4 linked regions of the Ovis aries genome follow. The protein of the gene in region 2 purifies or fractionates together with the protein of the main gene of each other region. This does not show direct contact. Links are inferred from orthologs where the notes say so. Each region holds a gene or a part of one and is shown on either strand. Other genes may lie near its edges.

The links.
Region 1: the proteins of ANKRD28 (region 2) and PPP6R2 purify together in Homo sapiens (co-immunoprecipitation; 4 studies listed by BioGRID and IntAct, counting the BioPlex papers as one, with this or other methods). This does not show direct contact. The link is inferred for Ovis aries from reciprocal best matches to the Homo sapiens genes ANKRD28 and PPP6R2.
Region 3: the proteins of ANKRD28 (region 2) and ARHGEF2 purify together in Homo sapiens (affinity purification with mass spectrometry; 3 studies listed by BioGRID and IntAct, with this or other methods). This does not show direct contact. The link is inferred for Ovis aries from reciprocal best matches to the Homo sapiens genes ANKRD28 and ARHGEF2.
Region 4: the proteins of ANKRD28 (region 2) and PPP6R3 purify together in Homo sapiens (co-immunoprecipitation; 3 studies listed by BioGRID and IntAct, with this or other methods). This does not show direct contact. The link is inferred for Ovis aries from reciprocal best matches to the Homo sapiens genes ANKRD28 and PPP6R3.

The regions. Positions count from the first base shown.
Region 1 is NC_056056.1:225,668,555-225,673,708, forward strand, and holds part of PPP6R2 (serine/threonine-protein phosphatase 6 regulatory subunit 2), read left to right. Parts: intron 1-152; coding exon 153-356; intron 357-1,503; coding exon 1,504-1,568; intron 1,569-2,877; coding exon 2,878-2,993; intron 2,994-3,958; coding exon 3,959-4,044; intron 4,045-4,178; coding exon 4,179-4,259; intron 4,260-4,471; coding exon 4,472-4,569; intron 4,570-4,882; coding exon 4,883-4,940; intron 4,941-5,018; coding exon 5,019-5,134; intron 5,135-5,154. UniProt on the Homo sapiens protein: Regulatory subunit of protein phosphatase 6 (PP6). May function as a scaffolding PP6 subunit. Involved in the PP6-mediated dephosphorylation of NFKBIE opposing its degradation in response to TNF-alpha.
Region 2 is NC_056054.1:273,859,305-273,865,248, forward strand, and holds the start of ANKRD28 (serine/threonine-protein phosphatase 6 regulatory ankyrin repeat subunit A), read right to left. Parts: upstream 3,264-5,944; 5' UTR 1,833-3,263; coding exon 1,716-1,832; intron 589-1,715; coding exon 505-588; intron 1-504. UniProt on the Homo sapiens protein: Regulatory subunit of protein phosphatase 6 (PP6) that may be involved in the recognition of phosphoprotein substrates. Involved in the PP6-mediated dephosphorylation of NFKBIE opposing its degradation in response to TNF-alpha.
Region 3 is NC_056054.1:105,989,272-105,994,425, forward strand, and holds part of ARHGEF2 (rho guanine nucleotide exchange factor 2), read right to left. Parts: intron 4,873-5,154; coding exon 4,622-4,872; intron 4,416-4,621; coding exon 4,290-4,415; intron 3,996-4,289; coding exon 3,878-3,995; intron 3,681-3,877; coding exon 3,432-3,680; intron 1,891-3,431; coding exon 1,814-1,890; intron 1,348-1,813; coding exon 1,178-1,347; intron 1-1,177. UniProt on the Homo sapiens protein: Activates Rho-GTPases by promoting the exchange of GDP for GTP.
Region 4 is NC_056074.1:42,325,704-42,331,498, reverse strand, and holds the start of PPP6R3 (serine/threonine-protein phosphatase 6 regulatory subunit 3), read right to left. Parts: upstream 3,525-5,795; 5' UTR 3,375-3,524; intron 3,210-3,374; exon of another isoform or gene 3,134-3,209; intron 2,679-3,133; exon of another isoform or gene 1-2,678.

The sequences.
Region 1 (5,154 bases), on a different chromosome or scaffold from region 2:
CTAGAAGCCCTGCAGCCAGATGTCAGGGTGGAGTGGGAGGGGGACAGAGCGGGCTGGGGGGACAGTGTGGGAGGCGGACGGACAACAGGGTCCCCCCAGGCTCCGCCCGCAGCAGACAGCCTGCGTGTGTCCCTCATCCCCTGTCTCTGCAGGACCTGTTTTTTAAGTACACTTGGAATAATTTCCTGCACCTCCAAGTGGAGCTCTGCATAGCCGCCATCCTGTCCCACGCTGCCCAGGAGGACAGGGCCGCAGCCAGTGGACCCGAGGGGGCACTGGAGCCTCCACCCTCCAGCGGGGACCCAGCAACCCCCCAGCCTGCCAGCAGCCTCCCCGAGAGCACCATGGTGACCCACGTAAGTCCAGCCGGGGTCATGTGAGTTGCCGTGTCCCGCCTGTCTCTGCATCCTGTGTGCCCTGAGGTCCACCCAGGCCGTGTGCACAGGCGGGGCTGTGGGCCTTGTGTGGTCTCCTTAACCCTCGCATGACGTGGGTGGGCTGCTCTGCTTTTGAAACCAGGAGACAGGAGACCCCAGCGCTTGTGGGTGGAGGGTCCAGGAGGGGTGCCGAGGAGCCCTGATGCTGCCTGTGCTGGGTCATCTGGGCTGTGGGAGTGAGCGGCCCCCAGATGGTGTGTCTGCCGCGGTAGGAGTGCCCGGGGAAGAGCAGACGCACCTTGATTCTCACGGGGGGGCTTCCTGGGGCTGTGAGCCTCTGGGGAGAGTGGCGGCTCTGCACGGCTCTCCCGATAGCCCGATAGCCCGAGACCCCCAGGGCCGGCCTTCTGGGGGCTGCAAGCCCTGCGTGGCCAGTGCCAGGCCTGCAGGGAGTTGGTCTAAGCGCTCCTTGGCGCTCCCTAAGGAGGGGAGGGAAAAGCAGAACATGGCACACGTGGTCCCCAAGCCAAGAGCCCAGCGGTGCACACTGGGCCCCAGGAGTCAGCCATGCCGCCCTCCTGCAGGTGACGCGAGGCCAGGGCGGGGGGGTGGTGGCGGGGCAAGGGTCCCCTGGGTCTGTGGCCAGAGGCCTGGGAGAGAGTCCTGAGGGGCCATGCCTGCAGGCCTGACCTGGGCGACAGCAAAGGCAGCTTCCTTGGGGAGAGGGCCGCGGGGCAGGGGGGCGGTGCTTGGGCCCTCCCACATGGTGAGGCTGCATGTGGGTGCAGGTGCGGCTGAGACCGGCACAGCCTCTGCAGGCGGGGTAGCTTCGAAGGGCTGGGGGCAGGGCAGCCCCGGGCCAGCGGCCTCTGCCCCGAGGAGCGAGAGCAGGGGCATGGCCAGCGGCAGGCGGCGGGGTGGAACTCGTGTCCCCTCGTGGATGGCCCTGGACGGCACTTGCCTGGGGCTGTGGTGGGGACCGTAGGGCTGGGCTCTGATGCTAGGTGTGCCCACAGGGAGCTCGGGGCTGACGTGTCCGCGTGCTGCCTGCTGAGCCCACTCAGCCCCGGGGGTGGGCGGACGGGGCGTGCTGCCCGCTGACCTGACCGCTGCCGCCTGTCCCCAGCTGTTCCAGAAGTGTTGCCTGGTCCAGAGGATCCTGGAGGCATGGGAAGCCAACGACCACACTCAGTAAGAGCCCTGGGGCCTGCGTGGGGCTCGGGGGGGGTGCCACGGAGGGTTTGTTTCCGAAGACAGGCCCCACTGCTGGGGGAGCAGCTGTGCTGCTGGCGGGGCTGAGGCGCAGGGCAGGCAGGCGGCGCAGCTGGGCCGCACTCAGGATCCTGCTCCTTGAGGCCTGCTTGCCTGGCTTTGGGGCCCCTCGCCTGCTCAGCAGCGGAGACCCCAGTCCTGTGTTCCACACCGTCTCAGGTCCCCGTGCTGGCCTCCAGCTGTGGTGCTCACAGAAGCCTCAAACCCTGGGCAGAGTGCCCAGGCCAGTCCCTGCCTCCTCCCTGCCCCTCCTGGCCTCTGGTCCCTTTGATCGGCTGGGGCCTCTCTCAAACGAGCAGGTGGTGTCGCCCGCCGCTCAGAGGTCTCGACTGCCTGGGTACGTGGTGTGACTGCAGGGCCCCCTCTGCTCCCACTCTGCCCTCCTAAGAGCTGCTCTGGGCGGGGCTCTCTGCGACCTCAGCTGGTTCATCCTTCCCGTCCTGCTGTGCTGAACCCACAGATCTGCGTCCGTCCTCACGGAGCCCCAGGCACAGCGGGGTCACCCTGGCTCCCGCTGGGCCCGGGTGTGGTGACTCGGGAGGCCTGTGCTGGGTCTCCTCCTGTGTGTCGCCTGTTGGTGCACACGTGTGTGTGCCTGTGTCGAGAGATGGCTCGGAGCTGTTAACCGAGGAGTCTCTGAGCCCCAGGAAGCGGTGGACAGGTGACGCCTCAGCCGAGCTCTGTGTCCTGAGCAGCTTGCTCACAGGCCTCCACCCTCGTGCGGCTTCGCCTCTGGCTGGTTCCTCCCAGTCTCGTGGCCCCTTTCCCCTGCTGGGGGGCCCCCGAGTCAGCTCCCTTGGTGTCCTCTCTGGCTGTGCCTGGGCTGAGCAGAGAACACGGCGCAGAGCAGGAGCCGCCCCTGGGGACCCGAGCCTGCGTCTTCCCGTCCTCTGCTGTCGGCCGCCCAGGGGGCAGATGAGAGGTTGAGGAAGGGCCGTGTGGGCGTGCTGGTGGCCACCAGCCAGGGCAGGGACAGCCACCCCTGCTGCTGCCCACTGCTGGGTCCCCGGTTGGCCCTCAGTCTCCCTGGGTCTTGGGACGCCCTCGGGCAGCTCTCGCGGCCCCGACGCGACCCTGGTGTGCCGGGCCTCCGGCTGTGCAAAGTTGAGTCGGGGGCGCTGGCGCCGAGCACATGGCTCAGCGAGCTCCGCGGGGAGGAGGCCTGTGGGAGGCGGCGGCCGACGCTGCGCCACGCGGGGCCCCGCTGACCTGATGCTCCCTCTCCTAGGGCGGCGGGCGGCATGAGGCGCGGGAACATGGGCCACCTCACCCGGATTGCCAACGCGGTGGTGCAGAGCCTGGAGGGGGGCCCCCTGCAGAGCCAGGTCAGCGAGGCCTTCCGAGGTGAGCGCCTCCAGGCCCGGGCGTCGCTGCCCGCGGTGCCCCCTGCGCTGCGGCCGTCGTCGCGTGGGACAGGCCCTGCTGCTGGACGGTCAGCTCGCCTCCCACGGGGTGACCTGCCCAGTGGGCCTTGGGCCTGAGTCGGTTCCCTGCCGAGCCCTGTGCTGTTAGTAAGAGCAGCCCAGAGCCCTTTGGGGCCCCCTCTCATCGCGGTCTGCGGCCTCTCCACCTGGGGCTGCCGTGTGCCCCTTGTGTATCCCGGACGGCACTCTTCAGCTCCCAGCAGCGCATCGTGGGCTGAGCTGGGGGGGCCTGAGGGGTTCAGATGGGAGAAGGTGGGCAGCCTGGCCTCTCGGGGAGGAGGACAGCACCTCTGAAGCAGTGGGTGCCAGCAGGGGTGAGCACTCGGGGCGCCAGGGGCGAGTGCACACAAGCCGGGCCCGAGGGCGGGATTCTGAGGGCAGTGAGGGGCTGTGGGCGGAGGCTGAGGACAGGCCCGGCCCGGGGCGAGGGGGCGCTGGGGAACGCTGAGCAGGCGCGCACCATCTGGGAGCCCTGGCTGGCTGTGTGTGCCGCCTGGGGCCCCTGAGCCTGCCGAGGCGCGGGAAGCTGCCTTGCCGATGTGCAGCTGGTCGTTCGCGTGCATACGGCCTTGGCGTGTTCCCTGCCGTGCCCCGCCAGACACCTCTGCAGTGGCCGCCGTGGCCCCCACAGCCCAGGGACAGCTGTGAGCTCAGCAGCTGGGGGGGCCTCCGATACCAGCATGGCGCTCAGTCCCTGGTGGGCTGGGTCAGTGTCTCTCATGGAGGCGTGCGCCCCTGACGGCCCTGTGCAGGGGACGGGGAGGGCGTCGGGGCCCGGTGTGCCCGGGAACACTCGCCCACGGGCTCGGGCCTGTGAGGCCAGGACGGGTGCGCGCTGCCGCGGGGTTCCAGAAACCAGGGGCTCAGTGCGCGGCCTTCCCACAGGGCTCCCGGCGGACTGCCGCGGGCGCTGGGAGAGCTTCGTGGAGGAGACGCTGTCGGAGGCCAACCGCAGGAACGCGGTGGACCTGGTGAGCAGGCCTGGCCTCCGGGCAGAGCTCTGCGGGCCCTGCGGTTCCACCCGGCCTGGGCTCACGGGGCTGCCTGTGCAGAGGGCTGGGGCGGCAGGGTGCCCGCTCACGCCTGCCCGCCCTGGCCGTTGCAGGTGGGCACACAGCACCTTCACCCCTCGAGTGAGGACGAGGACATGGAGGGCGTCCTCCCCAGCGGGCTGTCGCTGCAGCAGGTGCGTGCGGCCAGGCCTCCGCGTCCCCACGGCGCCGCGCCCTGCGCGCCGCCAGAGCCGCCAAGGGGGCCCCGGGCACTCTGCACCCATGGGACCCTTGGGGACGTGGTTGGCTCTGTGGGCGTGGCCGCCTTGGGCGCCCACCCAAGCGGGCAGGAGCTGGGAGAAGTCGCTGAGGGCGTCTCCTGAGAGCAGCCGGCCCTGTCGTCCAGGCGTTCTCCGAGTACCAGGTCCAGCAGATGACAGCCACCTTCGTGGACCAGTTTGGCTTCAGCGACGAGGAGTTTGCTGAGCAGGACGACAGTGTCAAGTGAGCCAGCAGCCTCTGCCCGCCTCCCTCGTGCCCGCCGCGTCCTCGGTGCCTGTGGGCGGGAGCTGGGTGCCGCTTGGCCTGACCAGGTCCCTGGCCTGCGGTCAGCACGGCTCAGGCTGTCACACCACCTCCTCAGCTGGACCCACATGCAACCCCAGGGTCTCGAGGTGCCCTCCGGGGAGGGCGGCAGGCGGGTCGCCCCTGGCTGTGAGCCTGCAGTGTGGCGCCCCCGCCCCCACCCCTCAGGTCCAGACGGGGCCACCTCCCGCCCCTTCTGGTGGAGGTCACGGTGTCCCTGCTGTCCTTGCAGCGCCCCATTCGACAGGATCGCAGAGATCAGCTTCAGCGTCGATGCCGATGACGATAGCGTGAGTCCGCGGGGTCTCTCGGAGGCGGCCAGGCTTTGTGGGCGCAAGGCCACGGGGCCCACGTGCACTCTCTCGCAGCCTGGCGCCGCGCTGTTTGAGGCCTGCTGCAGCGACCACATCCAGCCCTTCGACGAGGACGACGATCTCTGGGAGGCAGAGGAGACGCACCGTGCGGCCCGCGTGACCAGAGCCAGGTGGGCCGGGACGCGCCGGC
Region 2 (5,944 bases):
AGAAAGCAATTTAACCTCAGAACCAAGTTAGATATATTATAAATTTAAGGCATGTCTCTTATTCTAAGTTCACAATAAAGAATCCTCATCTGAATATTTAACAGTGAAGTGTCATGATGTCTATAACTTACTTTCAAATGGGATTCAGAAAAAGAATAAATATATGTGTAGTATAAATATAACTTGTGTAAATATTGGAGAGAAAGCAAATATGGCAAATGTTATCAATGCTGGAGGTTATATGGCTATTCAAAGAAGTTTTTCAATTTTTCTGTGAAAAATTTCAAAGTAAAAGGTTGGGGGAACAGAAATCCTTCACTGACTCCTACTTGTCCTAGGTTTTAGTAATTACCCTGAATATGCACGTCCAGTCCTTTCCTTTTTGCCTCAAGACCTTTCTACCTTTGCTTAGAGAAACTTACAGAATTATGTTAGGTCTTTTAACAAAAATCATCAACTCTAGCAAAGTACGCTTCAAGGCTGGTATCAGTGAAACTGTTTTACCTGAAAGTTAACATCTTCTTTCTTAAATATTAGTGCTCGAACTTCATCAGGATCTCCATTAAATATAGCTTGCACCAGTGAGGGCTAAAATACAAGAGAGTAATAAAAACATTAATCACACCACAGGGATGATGCTAAAGCTATTTCCACATAACTTTTAAATCTAAGATTTTTCTTCCCTATCACAACAAAAATCACTTGGCTTTGGACACGAACCAAGTTTCATGAAGTCAAATCATATGAAAGTACAAGATTCCTCTGAAATCCCTGGAAAAAAGAGTAGGCCTAATTGAAAAAAAAATCAATTCCACATGACCAAAATTAGGTAGTATTATAACCATAATTAGATTTTATATGAGTGGAAACCTTTTTTTATACAGATGGTAAAAAGAAAGTATCTTCCAAATAAATACAAGTGAGACATCTCAACACATACTTGTAGGACACAGCTCGTCAAACAGGCATTTGACAAGGAGCCCACAGAGGAAGCCTCTTTGAGCAGCTCTGTTCCGGGGACCCGAATAATTTGCATGAGTTAGCATTCCATGTGTAAAGATAAAAATCCAAAGAAAACCTGACAGCTGATGAAAATCATTATTATTCAAAGACCAAAAATTACTATAAATCTGAGTAACATGAAGAAGCAGACACATGCATGTCTAAATGTAACAAGTTCTTAATCAACGATATAGCCTCTCTGATAAGGTAACACATTATACTCTCAAACAAAAAGTTAATTGATAAGGTTTAAAAATAAAATTAAAGATGAAGTCTGATTCTTTTTCTGTAACAGCCCTGCATGTAAATATATAAAATTCACGACAGAGAAGGCTGTGTCTCGGTGTTGCTGACAACAGTCAACTTTCCTAAAACATACAGTTCCTCATACTTGCTACATTAGTTTCTAAAACCACAAAGTAAAAACTGAAACATGGGTGCTATAGCCTACTATCCTCAAATTATTTTTTAAACTCATTTTAAGAGATTAAGAGATAAAGTCTGAAATGTTACCGAAACATCTGAAAAAGTGAAAATAGGAAATGTGTGCATTTATACACAAGTAATATTACATCATACTCACACACCTATATTGCTTTCACTTGAGTTTTTAATGAAACTAGCGGAAATTAATTTGCATTTATTCTTAAAAAATAAAATTTACCCTGCTAGTTCAGTAAAAGATAGTAAACATATAAACTCTCGTATCTTACCAATACATTTCCCGAAGGTGGAGAATGTAGGGATTTATTTTCCTGTGGCAATTTAGAAATGAATGCAGGAGACTCATCTTCTACCTCCTCCAAAACAACAATACACACTCGACTCATTCGTTCTTTTAAAAAGCTGAATTCTAAGCTACGTGGTAAAAGTCACAGTTGGAAGAGCACAAGTAGCTTTTCCTCCTCTTCTGTACAGCACTTAGAATCATCCTCTAAAAAGCACAGCTGGTGTTTTTAAAGTTAACAAGCACTATCAGAAAAACTAAAGCTTAAAATTATAACTACATAACTCCCTAAAAAAAGAAAAAAAAAAACCCCAATTCTATTATTTTCTGTCAGTTAACTGTAAAACTTAGAAGAAATTTCACATCAACATGTCAAGAACTAAAACTGAGTCCGGAATCAGCTCATTTAAAACTATTTTTCCGCTACCAAGATAGTCATATTACTACTCTGTTTTACAGAAATTCACTTGCATAAAAAGATCACTGTTCGGGTGATAGCACCACACACAACAGAATAAGACGAGAAGCAAGTGCTGAGACAGACGGTCACAGCGATGCCCACTCCTGCCTGCAAGGTCATAGTTACCAGCAGCTGGCTTGCTTATCATTGAAAATAAAATATAAAATCTCACTATTCGGTTTCCACTTCTAATTTGTCTTCACTTCTTCAGCTTCGCTGGTTTAATACAGATACTATCCAGAGGAAAAAAAAAAACAAAAAACTATAGCTAGAGCTCTCAAAACGTTGCTCAGAGGTTGACAATTCTTTCTGTGTTTGAGAAAGAAAAAAAACAACACTCTGCATTAATAGCAAAGCTGCAGTACATTTACATGCAATGAGTCAGACCACAAGAGACAATAGGACTCTTGGTACTAGAATACGGCTTGATTAGTCCAGATATTCCATATAAGAGAGGAAAACAGTTAGCTTTATTCCCATCGACAGCACAGGAAAAGCAGAGTGTTCACTGCTCCTCCATCAGGCAGTGGTCTGTGGCTGCTTCAGCGAAAGGGCACAGGCACCAAGCAGACGCGGTGTTAGCGGAGAATCCTAACGGAACAGGCAGGCTGTGAAGGAATTAGAAGGCGTCTGAGCTCAAATTACGGCTTCAGGCTTTTCATTTTTAAAAAAGAGAGGGAGAAAACTCCAGTAGTTTATCATTCCAGTGTTTTCTTTGATCTCCACATGAATGCAGCTTCCATCAAAGAGTCTTCATTCAGAGGAAAAAACAGCAGACTGTGCATCTTCTCTGAGCCAACTACTTTATTCAGTCATCTGCCTCTGTGCCAATATAGTTTCCTTCCACTGTGAAAACCGCTACAGTTTTCCTTTTCAGTCGATTTCAGATGCTTTCCTGTTCCTCATATGATCTTACAAACCGCCACTGACACCTCCAAATGAGTAGTAGGTCCTTAAAAACCAGAGAACCTCAGGATCGGCCCCATTGAAGCATTCCAACTGAGCAACACTCTGAAGAGCAAGGACTGCAGAACCGCAGGGTGAAATGCCTAGTAATGCTCACATGTTTCACTTACCAGAGAGCTGAGCTACTGCTCCGGATGTGACTTCCTCTAGCAGGAGAAAAAAACGGTGCGTTTGGACAGCCTTCACAATTAGAAGGTTCATGCCAGTTCTGTGACTAATCCAGATCAAACTAAAAAATTCTATAACTGAAAAATGAGTGCGCTTTTAACATTTTCCACTAAAAGCCACAAGGAAATCTGGTGTACTGCCTCTGCTGACTAACAGTGGTTTTAGCAAGTAAACAATTCCAAACAGTTTAACTGCTTTCGTATGTTGCAATATGGCAAATGTTTAACCCTACAGTGACAGCTGCAGTGAGAATGCAGTGAACCCATGAAAGAACTAGAGATGGAGGAGCATTTCATGAGAACATAAATACCATAAGCCCAAGGTTTTCTGCCTATTTCCTCTAGACCATTTTTAATCTACTAGATGTATGTTATTTTCAAGAATGTAAAGAAGTTTACACAAAAGAAATTTAAGATTTACTAACAACTTGAGTTGTTAAATTCAGTCAACCAAATCATATTTTGAAAGAGAAAAATGAAAACCCCATATTGGAGAAATTCTAATTGTAAAATTCTACTAATCACTTGAATTTCACAAAAGAAATAATACTGTCTTCCCATCTGGATGTGGAACAAAGCCTTAAAATCTGTTGAATAGCTACATAAATCTATTCTTTCAAGTCCTTGGTAGTGAATTATCTATATGCCAAAAAGGTAAAGGGTTAACACAAAGCAAAGAATCTTCTCCCTCCCTATAAAAGTAATTATCCTGAAGCTACAAATAAGTGTCAAAAACAACCAATTTATAATTGGCTTTCTCCATTTCCTCCCCATTTCTTGGTTTTATTCAAGGATGGGGTTATTTTCCCACAGAAAAATGACAAAGAGAATACTATGATTCCGCCTCAATCTTTGTTTTCATCTGTCAACCAGCATTTTTATTAATAAACATAATAGCTATTCCTGTGCTAAATGTTACATTCTCATTTAATATTCACAATGGCCTTGCTATATTCCCATATGTACAGAGAAAAAACAGACTTAGAAATTATTATATCCATAGTTGGCAAATTAGTAAAGCTGTACCTAATTGTAAACACATGCTCTTTCTAATCTACTCTGCTTCCACTGACTATACACATACACTCTCATCAAAGAGTTCTGTGATCTATAACACCAGACTGCAAAAGTGATCTTAGGAGACAAACAATCTCAATGATTGTGAAAAGTTTAGGTAACAAAGTAACATACTATTTACTGCAATAATATTCCCAAACAAGTTATTTTTAAATAGGTTCTTCAGGGCTAATGTTACCTCACACACTTAAGTCAGTTGATTTATCAGAACACTAAAAAAAAAAAAAAAAAAAAAAATCCAGCATAATATAAACAAGAAAGCCAGAATTTAACAACAAAACCCATTATCAATTTATGTAAAAACCTATAATCCTAACGTAACTGTACTAAAATGTGCTAAAAAAATCACTTAGTTATTTTTAAAAATGTAAATGGTTTTCAGTCAAATTAAAGACATGCAAGTATTCTGACATGCATGAAACCACTATAGTAACAATATACTGTCACTGTCAGGGGGCCTCACCCCTCAAACAAAATCTTTTTTTTATACAGACAATTTTAGCTTGTTCTAAAGTCTCCAGTATGTAAGTTCACCTACTTAGACCTAGGCAAGTACATCCTGTTTTCTTGCTCTAGGTTAAATTCCGTACTTTGGTTTTTCCCAAACAGAAAGCAAGCTCCTTGAAGGCAGGGGCTATGTTACATACATATTGTTTCCTCCAATATCTTCCGTCTGTAAATAGTCTCACTGAAATAAATTCTATTATGTCACAAGACTCTGGAATAGAGTGGCAAAAATATGAAAGACAGTGGGGGTAGGATTCATGTATTTTAACCAGTAAACATGGTGGTATTAAAGTGCAGCAAAATGAATGCTGTGTCTCTAGTGGGAGAGCAGCTTAAACCTGTAAGTTGACAGCATATAAAACAATGATACTGAATGACAGTTAAAGCTGTGGGCTCAGCAGTCAGCCTACCTGGAGTTCAGATTCCAAGACAAAGCTGTGTCTTTGAGCAAGCTGCTTTAGTCCTTGAGTCTAAGACTTAGACTTCTGAGAATAATAATCTCCAGAGATGTTCACCTTGGAGACACACTGTAACAGAACAGTGACTGAGAGGATAGGCTCTGTAACCAAACTAATCTAATCCGGCTTCCTACTAAGAAACATAACTGTGTGACCTTGAGCAAGTAAGTTACTTAACATTTCCGTGAATCATTTCAGTATCTATTAAAGAGCTGAACAGAATCTACTTTGTGGTGTTATTAAGAGTAAAGTTTAAAATAAAGATAATAGTATTACTACAGATACTTAGGATAGTTAAAAGATATTCCTTGTGAAACCCTGGATACTGACAACCTGCCCCTACTGGGGAGGTGATTCCGTTTGGGGGTCCGGAGATTCCATCCTGTCACTAAGTCTCTACCCTTTTCAGGCCTCTAGAGAGCCTGCTAGAAACTTGTCCTCACACCCCTGTAACCAGACTAGTGCTTACCAAGTGTTACTGGGGAAGAGAGCAATAAACTGAGGCAAGAGGTTTTTGTATTCCTCCACATTCACTGTATTTCACAGTCTAGGGAAAGAGCAAGAATAAAAAATATTGGCC
Region 3 (5,154 bases), about 170 Mb from region 2:
AATTTCTGAAAAATTTGTTCAAAAGTCTAAATTGCAGAAGTGAGAAAATATATATAGTTTTATATATTATAAAGTAGAGAAGAATCCATTCCCTGAAAAGTATAAACAAAAAAATCATAAACATCCTAATTGAGTTTATTTTTCAGGCATTATCCTTGAGAATGTACTTTCTTTTCTTTTTTAAAGTTTTATTTATTTATTTTTGGCTGTGCTGGGTCTTAGCGGCTGCACAGGCTTTTTCTCTAGGTGCGGCAAGTGGGTGCTATTTGCTAGTCACGGTGTACAGGCTCCTCACCGTGGTGGCTCTTGCTGCTGTGGAGGATGGGCCCTAGGGCGCTCAGGCTTCAGTAGCTGCAGCCCGTGGGCTCAGCAGCTGCAGTTCCCAGGCTCTAGAGCACAGGCTCAGTAGTTGTGGGGTATGGGGTCAGCTGCTGCGAGGCATGTGGGATCTTCCCGGATCAGGGATTGAACCTGTGTCTCCTGCACTGGCGGGAGGATTCTTGATCACTGAGCTGCCAGGGAAGCCTGAGAATCCATTTTCGACATTTTACATGCACTTGACTTTTTGTCTGCATTGAAGGCAGCTCTTCGTCTGAGCCACCAAGGAAGCCCCTTTACTTTCTTTGATCACAACAGACACATACTCAGATCTGATGTGTGTCCAACAGAAGCCAGAGATTTGCTGCTTTAGCACACAAAATGATTTCTTTGTAGCCTCTATCGTATGGAGTTTGTTTCAGTCTTGCCCCTCTGATCACTAGTATCAATGCTTTCATTATCCTTTTTTTCTTTTTTTTTTCATTATTCTCTTTTTCATTCATTTTTAGAAAATGAAGGTGAAAGACAATACAGTCCAAATAATGGCCCACTGCCTACAGACTAAGATGTTAATGGAGGTGAAACTGTACTGCTGACTGGCAGGCATGCCGGCACGTGCCAACTTAAAGTATTCCTTTGGCTTGTCAGCTCATGGTGCATTCAGAAGGCGGTTGGGGTTGTCACTGTATAAAATGCAACTTTACCGGGCAAGAGAACATAAATGACCTTGCCTGCCTTGGGCCATCTTGTCTCTCTCCTGGCCTCTCCTTCCACTTCTGAACCCTGGGTTCTGTTCCCTGGGAGTGCTGTGGTCCAACGCCCCAAACTGCAGGAACCACAAGTCCATGCACACACTCACACTCGCACACTCTGCTGAATGACGCGGATCCAGGTGCTCCGGTCATCCCGGGATGCCGTGTGGACCTCGTACATCTCAGGGGGTGCCGCACTGATCAGAAACATCCCTTTCTCCTGGTTAGCGATGTCCCGCACGATGAGATTCTGCAGTGACACCACCGAGGGCTTGTCCTGCCAATTGGGGCACAGGAAGGATTAAAGCTGGGAATCCTGACCCCTGGATATTTGAGTCTTCAGTCCTCCTGGAGTATCCAAAGGATTGAAGAGTCAGCCGAGAATATAAGTTAAGAGCTCAGACTCTGGTGCCAGCCAGAGTGGACTTAGAGAAACGTCTGTGACCTTTGACAATTTAATTAACTTTAAGCTTTACTTTTCTCATCTACAAAAAGAGGATAATCATGTGCCTTCCTAACACGTGTAAAAAAAAGTGGCTGCATATAGTAACAATATGCGTTGGCTCTTCTTATTCCTTCTGATCATATTTATATGCATTGGCTCTTCTTATTTTTCCTGATTATATTACGGCAGTGGTTACAATAATAGCTATTTGATGTTGGAGGATTTCCTGGCCAGGGTAGGAAAGTAAGAAGGGTCTGAAACACTTGTCTATGCTGAGAAAGAAGGTGGAAGGTCTCACCAGGGCAGGAAAGATGTACTTCTGGTCCTTCTCTTGGAGAAACACCAGCACATCTGTCATCAGCAGCATGAGCACATCTGGCAGGGGGATGGAGGCAGGAGGAGAGTCAGCGTTAGAGGATGCGAGCAGCTGTTTCCCTTTCCCCGACCTCTCTCCCTCTGGTTGTTTCCTCCCCCTTCGCAGACCTCCCACCTCTCCCCATTCCTACAGCTCAGAAACGGTGGGGGGCGGGGGGGACACATGTGTCATCAGACAAAACAGTTTCTTGGGCTAGAGATGCCTATAAGCAATCACCCAGTGGCCTTGAATAAAAGCCTCTTTATCCAATGAATGCTCCTTAGCCTGTGGTCTGCCGACACCTAGGTTGTCTGCTATCACGCTTCAGAGGCTCTGTAGATCCTCTAAAGTTCCATAAGCAATTTTTACATATTAATCTATCACACGTGTGTTTTTCTGTGTGAAAGGGTCCAGAATTCTTGTGAGGGTAAAACGACTCCCAGAGCCTTTCAGTTCCATGTTGAACAACTGACATAAGATCTTTTTGGATATTTGGTCTAAGATTCCCCCCATGCCAGCATATTCCCCACTTCTTATTTTGTGCTCCATGGGGAGGGGAACAGTTAGGTTCCTTATTCATTTCTCCCACTGTTGAACAATCCCAATCTCCTTCAACAACAGCAGGCCCTGCTTTCATTTTCCTTTTCTGCCCCACCTTCAAGGCCCTCACATTCTACGGGGTCCTGTGCTTTAAGACTTGGGGGAGACAAAGGTCAACCCATGAAAGTCAGATGTCACAGTCAGGAAAACACATGCATCCTCTGCCCTTGGAGATCTTTCTAAGTTGTGGGCACACAGAAGGGGAGGGCTTCTGCTAAAGGCTTCAGAAATAAAGCTCTTCAGCCTTGCTATTTTTAACCCCCCCATGGTTTATATTCTTAGCTGCTGCGTGGGAGGGATGGGAAGGAGAGAAAGGGATGGAGGAAAGTGGCTGGCAAAGCCTGCAATACTCAAGCCTATGGAGTGGGGACTTCACGACACGGGACAGAGGTGCAGGCAAGCTCTGGCCTCAGGTAGCATTCCTCACACCTAAAGCTGAGGTCTGCGACTCTTCTGCTTTGATTTAGGTAGGCAAGCCTTGCCCAGTATAGTCTGGGAAGAGAGGCTGGGACAGTGCGCCCCGCCCTGAACACACCTTCCCTGCAGTCTTTTCTCTTCTCCACTTGGCCCGCCCTTCCCTGGGCTCCACCCCCTCCAAGGGCCTTCCTCAGCTGTGTTCCCAAAGTGCCTGCCCATTCCCCAGCCCTAGTGGCTGGGACTCCAGCTGGTAGAACCAATTACCAGGGGCTAGTCCTCTAATCCTGGAATTTCTCTGTTTTTCTCATCAAAATCGGTAGCTTTCTGGGCATGCAAGGACCAAAGGAATGAACAAATCCTGACAACGAAGTCCTTGTATCGCCCATGAAATTAAATCCAGAATTCTGACTTTTGTTACAACAGAGCTCACATATTTTCCTCCCACTGGGTCTCACCAGGGCTACATTAAAAGAGGTCCTATGGGCTTGGAGGCTTCTCCCTCTGGCCATGGACTCTTGCCTGGTCTGCCAAGCTGTCCACTGACCTTTGAAGCGCCCAGTCGCAGTCTTCCAGAGCAGGCAGCCATCGTGAATGAGCTTGCGCCGCAGGAGCTCCTCTCGGCCAAAGGGGCCCTTGCCGGGAACCGGGGCCTGGGCCCGAGGGTCCATGCGGTTGTAGATCTCCTGCAGGCGGGCCCCTTTCTCCAGCTCGTGCACATCCTGGTCCACGTTGGACAGCAGCTCCTTCACCAGCCCCAGGGCCGTGGTCAGGTCCTGGCGCTCCTCCTCCATCCCTGACACCGAGGTCGGCGTGAGGAAGGGGTGGCCCAGCCAGCTTCACGCCAGTCCCCAACCCACTGATCTCAATGCCGCCTTCAGAGGCTGCCCAGGGTTCCATATGTGACCCTCTTCCTCCCGGTGGTTGTCCAGGGCCACGCCTCACCCCTGACAGCCCTCTCCCTCCTCCTCCCGCCTGGACTCGCCCTCTCACCGTGGGAATGCTGCAGGATGCGGTTGATGAGCACTGGGTACTTGGTGATGCGCTGAGTCACTAGCAGAATGCACTCTTGTACCCCATGCCGCTTCAGCACCGCCGAGCGGGTCACTTTCTACAAAGCGAGGTCAGGGCTCAGTGCCAGAGGGGCACCCGCGGGGAGGGCACCAGAAAGGACGCTGGACTTGGAGCCTAAGCCCTGGTGCCTGCCTGCACTTGGTCATTTACCTCATGCTGGCTGGCGGGAGGTTAATGACTCTGGAAAATGGGGCCGACAAGGTCACAGGTTTACTGTGAGGACCCAAGGAGCGAGAGCACTCGCTCTACCCCTGGAAAAACGAGCAGCTGTGTCCACTAGGGCTGGGGCACTACAGGAGGCGGAGGGTGGGTCTTGGAGAGGTTTGCTCACCCGGATGAACTGCTGGAAGCGTTTGTCTCGGGCATACAGCTCCTTATAGAGTTTTAAGGCCTTGGTGTGGCGGCTACAGAACTCTGAGTAGGTCTTCCGCATCTGCTCTGCGCTAGGACCTGAGAACTAGAAGTTGGGGGAGCAAGGCTGGGTCAGCATGTCCCCCAAAGTCACCTCTCATCCCCAATGCCCTCTCGCCTCCTGCCAAACAGGCTGGCTTCCTGCCTTTCCAACTCTCTCTGCCCCACCCCCCAGAGTCTGGAGATGAGAAATGCCCACTCTAGTCACACCCCCGCCCAAGACTGCTGCCCAGGGCTCCTGGCTTTTCTCACCTGGCTGATGAGCAGGTCCCCCAAGCGATGGATGACGAAGTTCCGGGTGCTACCAGGGCATAGGGCATGGCGCCGGCGATCCAGCAGCTGGCTGAGGAAGCGCGTGTGGATGTCAGTGAGCTCGTCCACACAGGGGAACAGGCCCTGGACCACTCCTGGCTCCAGCTGCAGCTCTTCCAGCATGCCCGTGCGGAAGAGGCGGGTCATGATCTTCAGTGTCCGCACGTGGTGCAGCTCTGTCTGGATCAGCTCTGTGGGGACGGTGGAACACCCGGCTTGGCCACAACTGGTGGGGCCAAGGCTGGAGACCTCAGGCTTATTAGAGGTTTTCAGTTTCCCTTCCAGGCTAATATTCTGCGTTATGATCTTAGATCATTTTTCTAATCATTTATCTTTATGCCTTGCCATCTCAAGGCAGAATGAGGCTGTGGAGACAGGCAGGGGAAGGGGCTAAGAGGGGCTCACTCTTGCCATCTCAAGGTATAAAGTCAAAAACTATGTGTTCCTTACATGCCTAGACTTCCCACAGTCCC
Region 4 (5,795 bases), on a different chromosome or scaffold from region 2:
GAAAATGATGTATACCATCTTTCCCCATTACTAAGTCATGTCCCAGGAGGGTCGAGGTATAGACAAGCTCACAGGTGACAGGACCCCTTGACCCACACGCAGCTCCTGAAATCTGTGGTCTAGTGGTGCCAGAACCTAGCTGCACATCAGTATTACTCGGGAGCTTTTAGAAACGTTCTCACTCTCATCACACATTTACAGAACAGTCTTGAAAAGTATCCCCAATGATCCCAAAGCAGGTCAGCTCACCATCTGTCTGGAGCAGGGTTTCTCGACCTCAGCACCGCTGACCTCTGGGGGGCTAACGTCCTGCTGAGGGGTGAGGCTGCCATCTTGTGCATCACAGGGTGTCCAGCTGCATCCCTGGTCTCTACCTTCTAGAAGCCACGGCCCAACTCCACAGATGTGACAAGCAAAATTTACTTCTCCAGATATCACCAGATGATTCTTGGGGGCAAAATCCGCCCCCCAAAGTTGAGAACTACTGCTCTAGAGTAAATTAAAAAACGGTCATCTGAGGCTCCTTTAAGAAGGGAAAAAAATAAGAAAACTTCCAAAAGCCAAGAAATCAGGTCTATTCTTTCCATCCAGCTCACCTAAGAAAAAGCAGTCAACTCTACTTGGCCACACCAGGGCTTATGAGAACCAACCACAGCCTCTTGTGCTTTGTACGTAAATAAACTGAGTTTTAATTGAGCAGATGGTTACAAGACCTTCACTGTCACTACCATTCTTAACCATTCTATATCAGTAAGAAAGCATTGTAAAATTTTAGACAAATATATACTCAGGCTACCTCTCAAATATCCAATATATAAAACCACAAGATTCAAGTTTATCAAAGAAGCAAACTAAATACCAATCCTGACAAATACTGTTTTAAGGAAGATGTCTTGTCTGTAATAAGCACCTTATCTCTGTACCACATCAGCGCCAAAATTTATTTCAAAGAGACTAAACAAGCCTCACCCTGTCAGGCCTTAACTTCATCACTATTCCTTTTCTGTCCAGTTAGGGTCTGATTCTCAAATTGCCAGGCAGTTAATTGAAACCATCAAGTTTTGTTCTGCTATACTTTACACAAAAGCTAGTTTTCTAATCTAAAACAATCTTCTTCCTGTTCAGTAAGTTACACCAGCAAGATGTTCATCTCTACTTAAGACGGAGTCTATCAAATTAACATTTCCCAGGGCAACAAAGCAAGCCAGGTCCCAAGCAGGTAATTCCAGGGGAAGGACAAGCCTGGTTTCAAGCAGCAGGGAGAAGACCACAGGGCAGGAATCAATAGACTCTGAGTAGATGCATGAGTGGATGGCATTCTGTTAGATATTCTAGACTCTCTGATCAAACTTAGCTGAAATGCAAAATAACTTCGAAAGCATCCACCCAGGACAACAGTTATTTCCCAAAGTACCTTCACTGAAAAATATCTCAATACACAGTAACCTTTCAAACCTCAGTAAGAACCCAAGAGTACACTAAGAAACTCTCCAGTTACTACTGATTTGGGGGCCAATCACACGCAATAAGCGGTATTCAAAAGTACAGGAGGAACAAAATCTGACGTGAGCTCCTGGTGGGCTTTTATTTAACCATCTCTTCAACAAGCCAGTCTGAGGCATCACCACTAATGACTCCAGAAAACGTCTGTAAACGTAATCAATCCTCAGCCACCCTCTCCTGGGTGGTTCTCAGCCGGAAAGACTCTTAAAAACACAAGAGCTTTCTAAAGACAGCCACGAAAAGCCAGGACTTCCCAATACTATCTAAACATTTAAAAACCAAATCCAAATTAATAATAGCCACTAATTACTAAGCGGATTCCTCACGCCAGGCACCGTTTCTAGCTGCTTTACACATATTAACTCATTTCCTCCCGACAGACTGCTGAGGCAGCCACTGCTGTTATTCCCGTATTACAGAAAAAGCAGAGAGGTTGAGGGACTTGCCCAAGGTCACAGCGCCAGAAAGTGGTGAAGCCAAGATCTGGAAACCACGCCATCTAACTCGACAGCAAAAGAAGCTCCAACACCATCCCTTCAGTGGGTCTTCCAGCGGCTGGAAATCCGGAGCCTCTTTCCCACTTGCTGCCTACCTACAACGTGACCTTGAGGACAAAATCGCAGTCAACTCCACGTTAACAAAACAGCCACATTCACAAGTGCTGTGACGATAAAAGGAAACAACTCCCAAGCGCCGCTCCCAGAAAAGCTCGATCCGACCCACAGAGAAAATGGGTTAAGTACAGAGATTACACGGAGCTCGGAGGGTGAGACGCCAAGACACCCAGGTGCATCCAAGGACTCGTGCCATTCACCTCCAACCAAGAGTCCAAGTTGTGGTCAGAGAAAGCCGGGCCGCAGGAAACCCCTCCAAGGGAGCGGCGAGAGGGCTTCTTTAAGAGGGAGGTACTTGCGGCCGAGAGGACCACCCCCCCCACCCTAGCGCGTATTCGCCAGGGAGGCTTTCGCGACCAGGTCTGAGCTGGAGTCGCAACCCTGGAGTTTAAAAAAAAAAAAAAATCACTCGGAAGGAGGTTTTAAACACTCCGAGCCGGGCGCCGGCGTATCCCGCTGACTCTGCGGCGAGGGAGCAGAAACCCACAGAACTTGTTTCCCGGAGAACCGAGTCCAACAATGGCCTCTTCGGGAGTCTCCGGCGAGCCGCCGCCGCCTCAACTTGACACGCTGCGGGGCCCGCGCCCAGAGAACTTGTCCGGGGCCCGCGGGCAGCGGGCGGTGCTCGCTCGGGGCGGGCCGGCCGGCGCGGAGCGGGGCCCGGCCGGGTGAGGGGCGCGCCCGGCCGGCGGCCCGCCCGCCCGCCGCGCCAGGCCGCGGACGTCAACCCGGGCGCAAAGTTCGCCTCCCGGCCCGCGGCCCGACTCGGCGAGGGGCCCCGCAGCGGGCGAGCGGGCGGCTGACAGGCGCGGGCGGGGACGGGCCAGGGAGCCCGGGCGCCGCGCCTCCCCGGCGGCCGAGAGGCGAATTCCGGGGGGGAGGGGAGGGGGCCGGGACGCTCCCTCCCCGCGCCGCCGAGGCCGGGCGGAGGAGCCCCGCCGCCGCCGCCCGCGCGCCGCGCACCCAGCGCACCCCGCGCTGCGGCCCGCTCCGCCGCGCCCCCCCCTCCTCATTACCTGGAGGTGCCCGCGACTCGCCGCTAGTTGCGCTCAGGCGGGAAACGCGCTCACCGACACCATCAGCGAAGCGCCCAAAATGGCGGACGTATCAAGCAGGCCTTGAGTTCCCCCCGCCCTCCCTCCGAGCGCCTCGCGGCCAATCACGACCCTGCCCCCGCCCCCGGCTCCGCGCTCACTGGCCTTCCTCTCCCGCCCCCTGCCGCCTATTGGATCACTCTGCGGCCCCCGTTGAACCTACTCCGATTGGCTCGCGGACACCGTCCGTCAAGGGCGAGGGGGCGCATTCTTTTCCCATGGACTTGATGGATCCGGAACCTCTAGGACCCCGGAGTCTGGAGCCAACAAATCAGAAACCGAGGGAAACCTTGTCTGGGTTCCCCCCAACTACGCCATAGCAACAGCAGGGCCTTCTCTTGACGGACGGCTGGGGCCACCAATCCGATGGCCAATGCTTTTTAAAACTAAAGTGAGCCAAGCCAATCATGGCAGTAGGTCTGCACAAGAAGGGAGCTGCACAAGAACCAATGGGGTAGCGAGACCCGCGGGCAGGCGGGCCGGAGGGCCCGGAGGAAACCGGTGATGACGTGAGCCACCATGTGTCCCGGTGGCGGAAGTATGCCAGGAGCTGGGGAATTAGCTCAAGTGGTAGAGCGCTCGCTTAGCATGTGAGAGGTAGCGGGATCGATGCCCGCATTCTCCACGGCTGAATTTTATAAAGGTGGGGAGGGAGCGGGGAAATTGGCAGTCAATGTCACTTGTCTCAAAGGTGGAGTTTGTACCAGGAGATGTGAGGACAAGTTGTGCTAGGTGCCCCTATCTGTGCACCGGCCTCTGCTAGGGAGAAAAACTGGATGGATTGGGGGGTGGTCTTCCTTTTGCCTTGCGGAAGGATTTATGCAGAAGTTGCTTCTTCAAATGTAGTGGTAGTGAGCACTTTGTTCCCCGCCGGCCGGGGTACACAGGAGCAGAGGGTCCCGGACGTCAGACTCCACCTGAGCAACACAAGCAAAGCAGGCCATAGAGCGGTGGTGGTGGTGTTTCTGAGCAGGTGACATTTCCACCCACGGGACACGGAGGACAGACCTGCGCGGCTCAGTACGGGTTGGCGAGGGCTCCGGGCAGGGAGACTGTGACAGGTGTCTCTGGGGGCACTGGCTTGCTCAGGGATGATCACTCCGGCTCACGGAGCGGAGGCAGGCTCTTACTGTGGGGCTTCCCCCAGCTACCTCCCAGAGTCCGGGCCTGAGCAAAGTGACAGGGCTTGGCCCCGGGTCTGCCTTGCCAGTGCTTCCCTCTGCACCCCTTTGCCTCGGCCCCAGCTGGCCCTTCACCTCCCTGACTCAGATTATCTGAGCACCCCACCCCCACCCCCGGGCCAAATGGCAGGGAGAAGAGAGCCCAGCTTGAACTCGGTCAGCCCTGGTAGGCTACAATCCATAGGGTCGCAAAGAGTCGGGCACTACCGAAGAGACTTAACACACACCCCTAGTGCCTGGGGAGCTGGGTCTCCAGTGCAGACATGCCCGTCGGTCCCCTAGCTCCCCCCTTCAGCAAACCTGCAGCTGGAAGCCAACTCAGAAAGACTTCACTGCTGGTGAATCATCATCCCCATTTTACCGGTTAATTAACTGAGGCCAGAAGGAATTTACACTCACATTGGCTGAGTGACCTTAGTTGGGTAATCTAACACCTCTAAGTTTCCAGGAAGAGACTGATGCTGAAGGTGAAGCTCCAATACTTTGGCCACCCGATGCAAAGAACCGACTCATTGGAGAAGACCCTGATGCTGGGAAAGATTAAGGGCAGGAAAAGAAGGGGACGACAGAGGACGAGAATGGTTGGACTGCATCACTGACTCAGTGGACATGAGTTTGATAAAGCTCCGGGAGATGGTGAAGAACAGGAAAGCCTGGCTTGCTGCAGCAACTGAACAACAGCTAAACCTCCAGATCTTATCTGTTAAGTACCAGTGATTGTAGATAATGGTGACACCACCTGTGTCCATGCCCTGAAGGGTATTGGGCTTCTAGAGTGGCAGCAACCAACCAAGGATGGATATTACTTGCCTGATCCTACTGTTCAGAGAGGCGCTGATCCTTGCCCAAAGCCCTACAGCTAGTGAAGAATTCATTTCAAGATTGAAGCCAGGGAATTCCCTGGCAGTTCAGTGGTTAGGATTCTGCACTTTGACTACTGAGGGCACAGGTTCAATCTCTAATCTGGGAACCAAGATCCCGCAAAAAAGATTGCAGCAAGTTCAAAAGATATGCAGAGGGTTAGGGAGAGGGATCTATATACAGATAACCTGGGTGGGCGGGGGAGAAGCAGGGAAGAATGGGAGGGAGGGACTCATGGCAGCTTTGGAGGATAAGCAAAGGAAAAACTTCAGAGCAACAGAGGGCAAATTCAGGGCTGGCCATACTTTAGAAAGGATGGTTTGGATTTAGAGCAGCAAGGCTGTGCTCTGTGAGTAGTGCTGGACCAGAGAGGCTTGCCCTGGAGCACGGGAACTGCTGCAGGCAACCCCAGGACAGTAAAAGTGCGCTATACAATGTGATGCTTTTGAGCAGGACTGAAAACGCAGCTTTCTGTTTCTAGACCCATTGGAGCAGAAGCTTCATGAGGTTAGTTTTTCCTTTCTTTGCTGCTATACCACAGA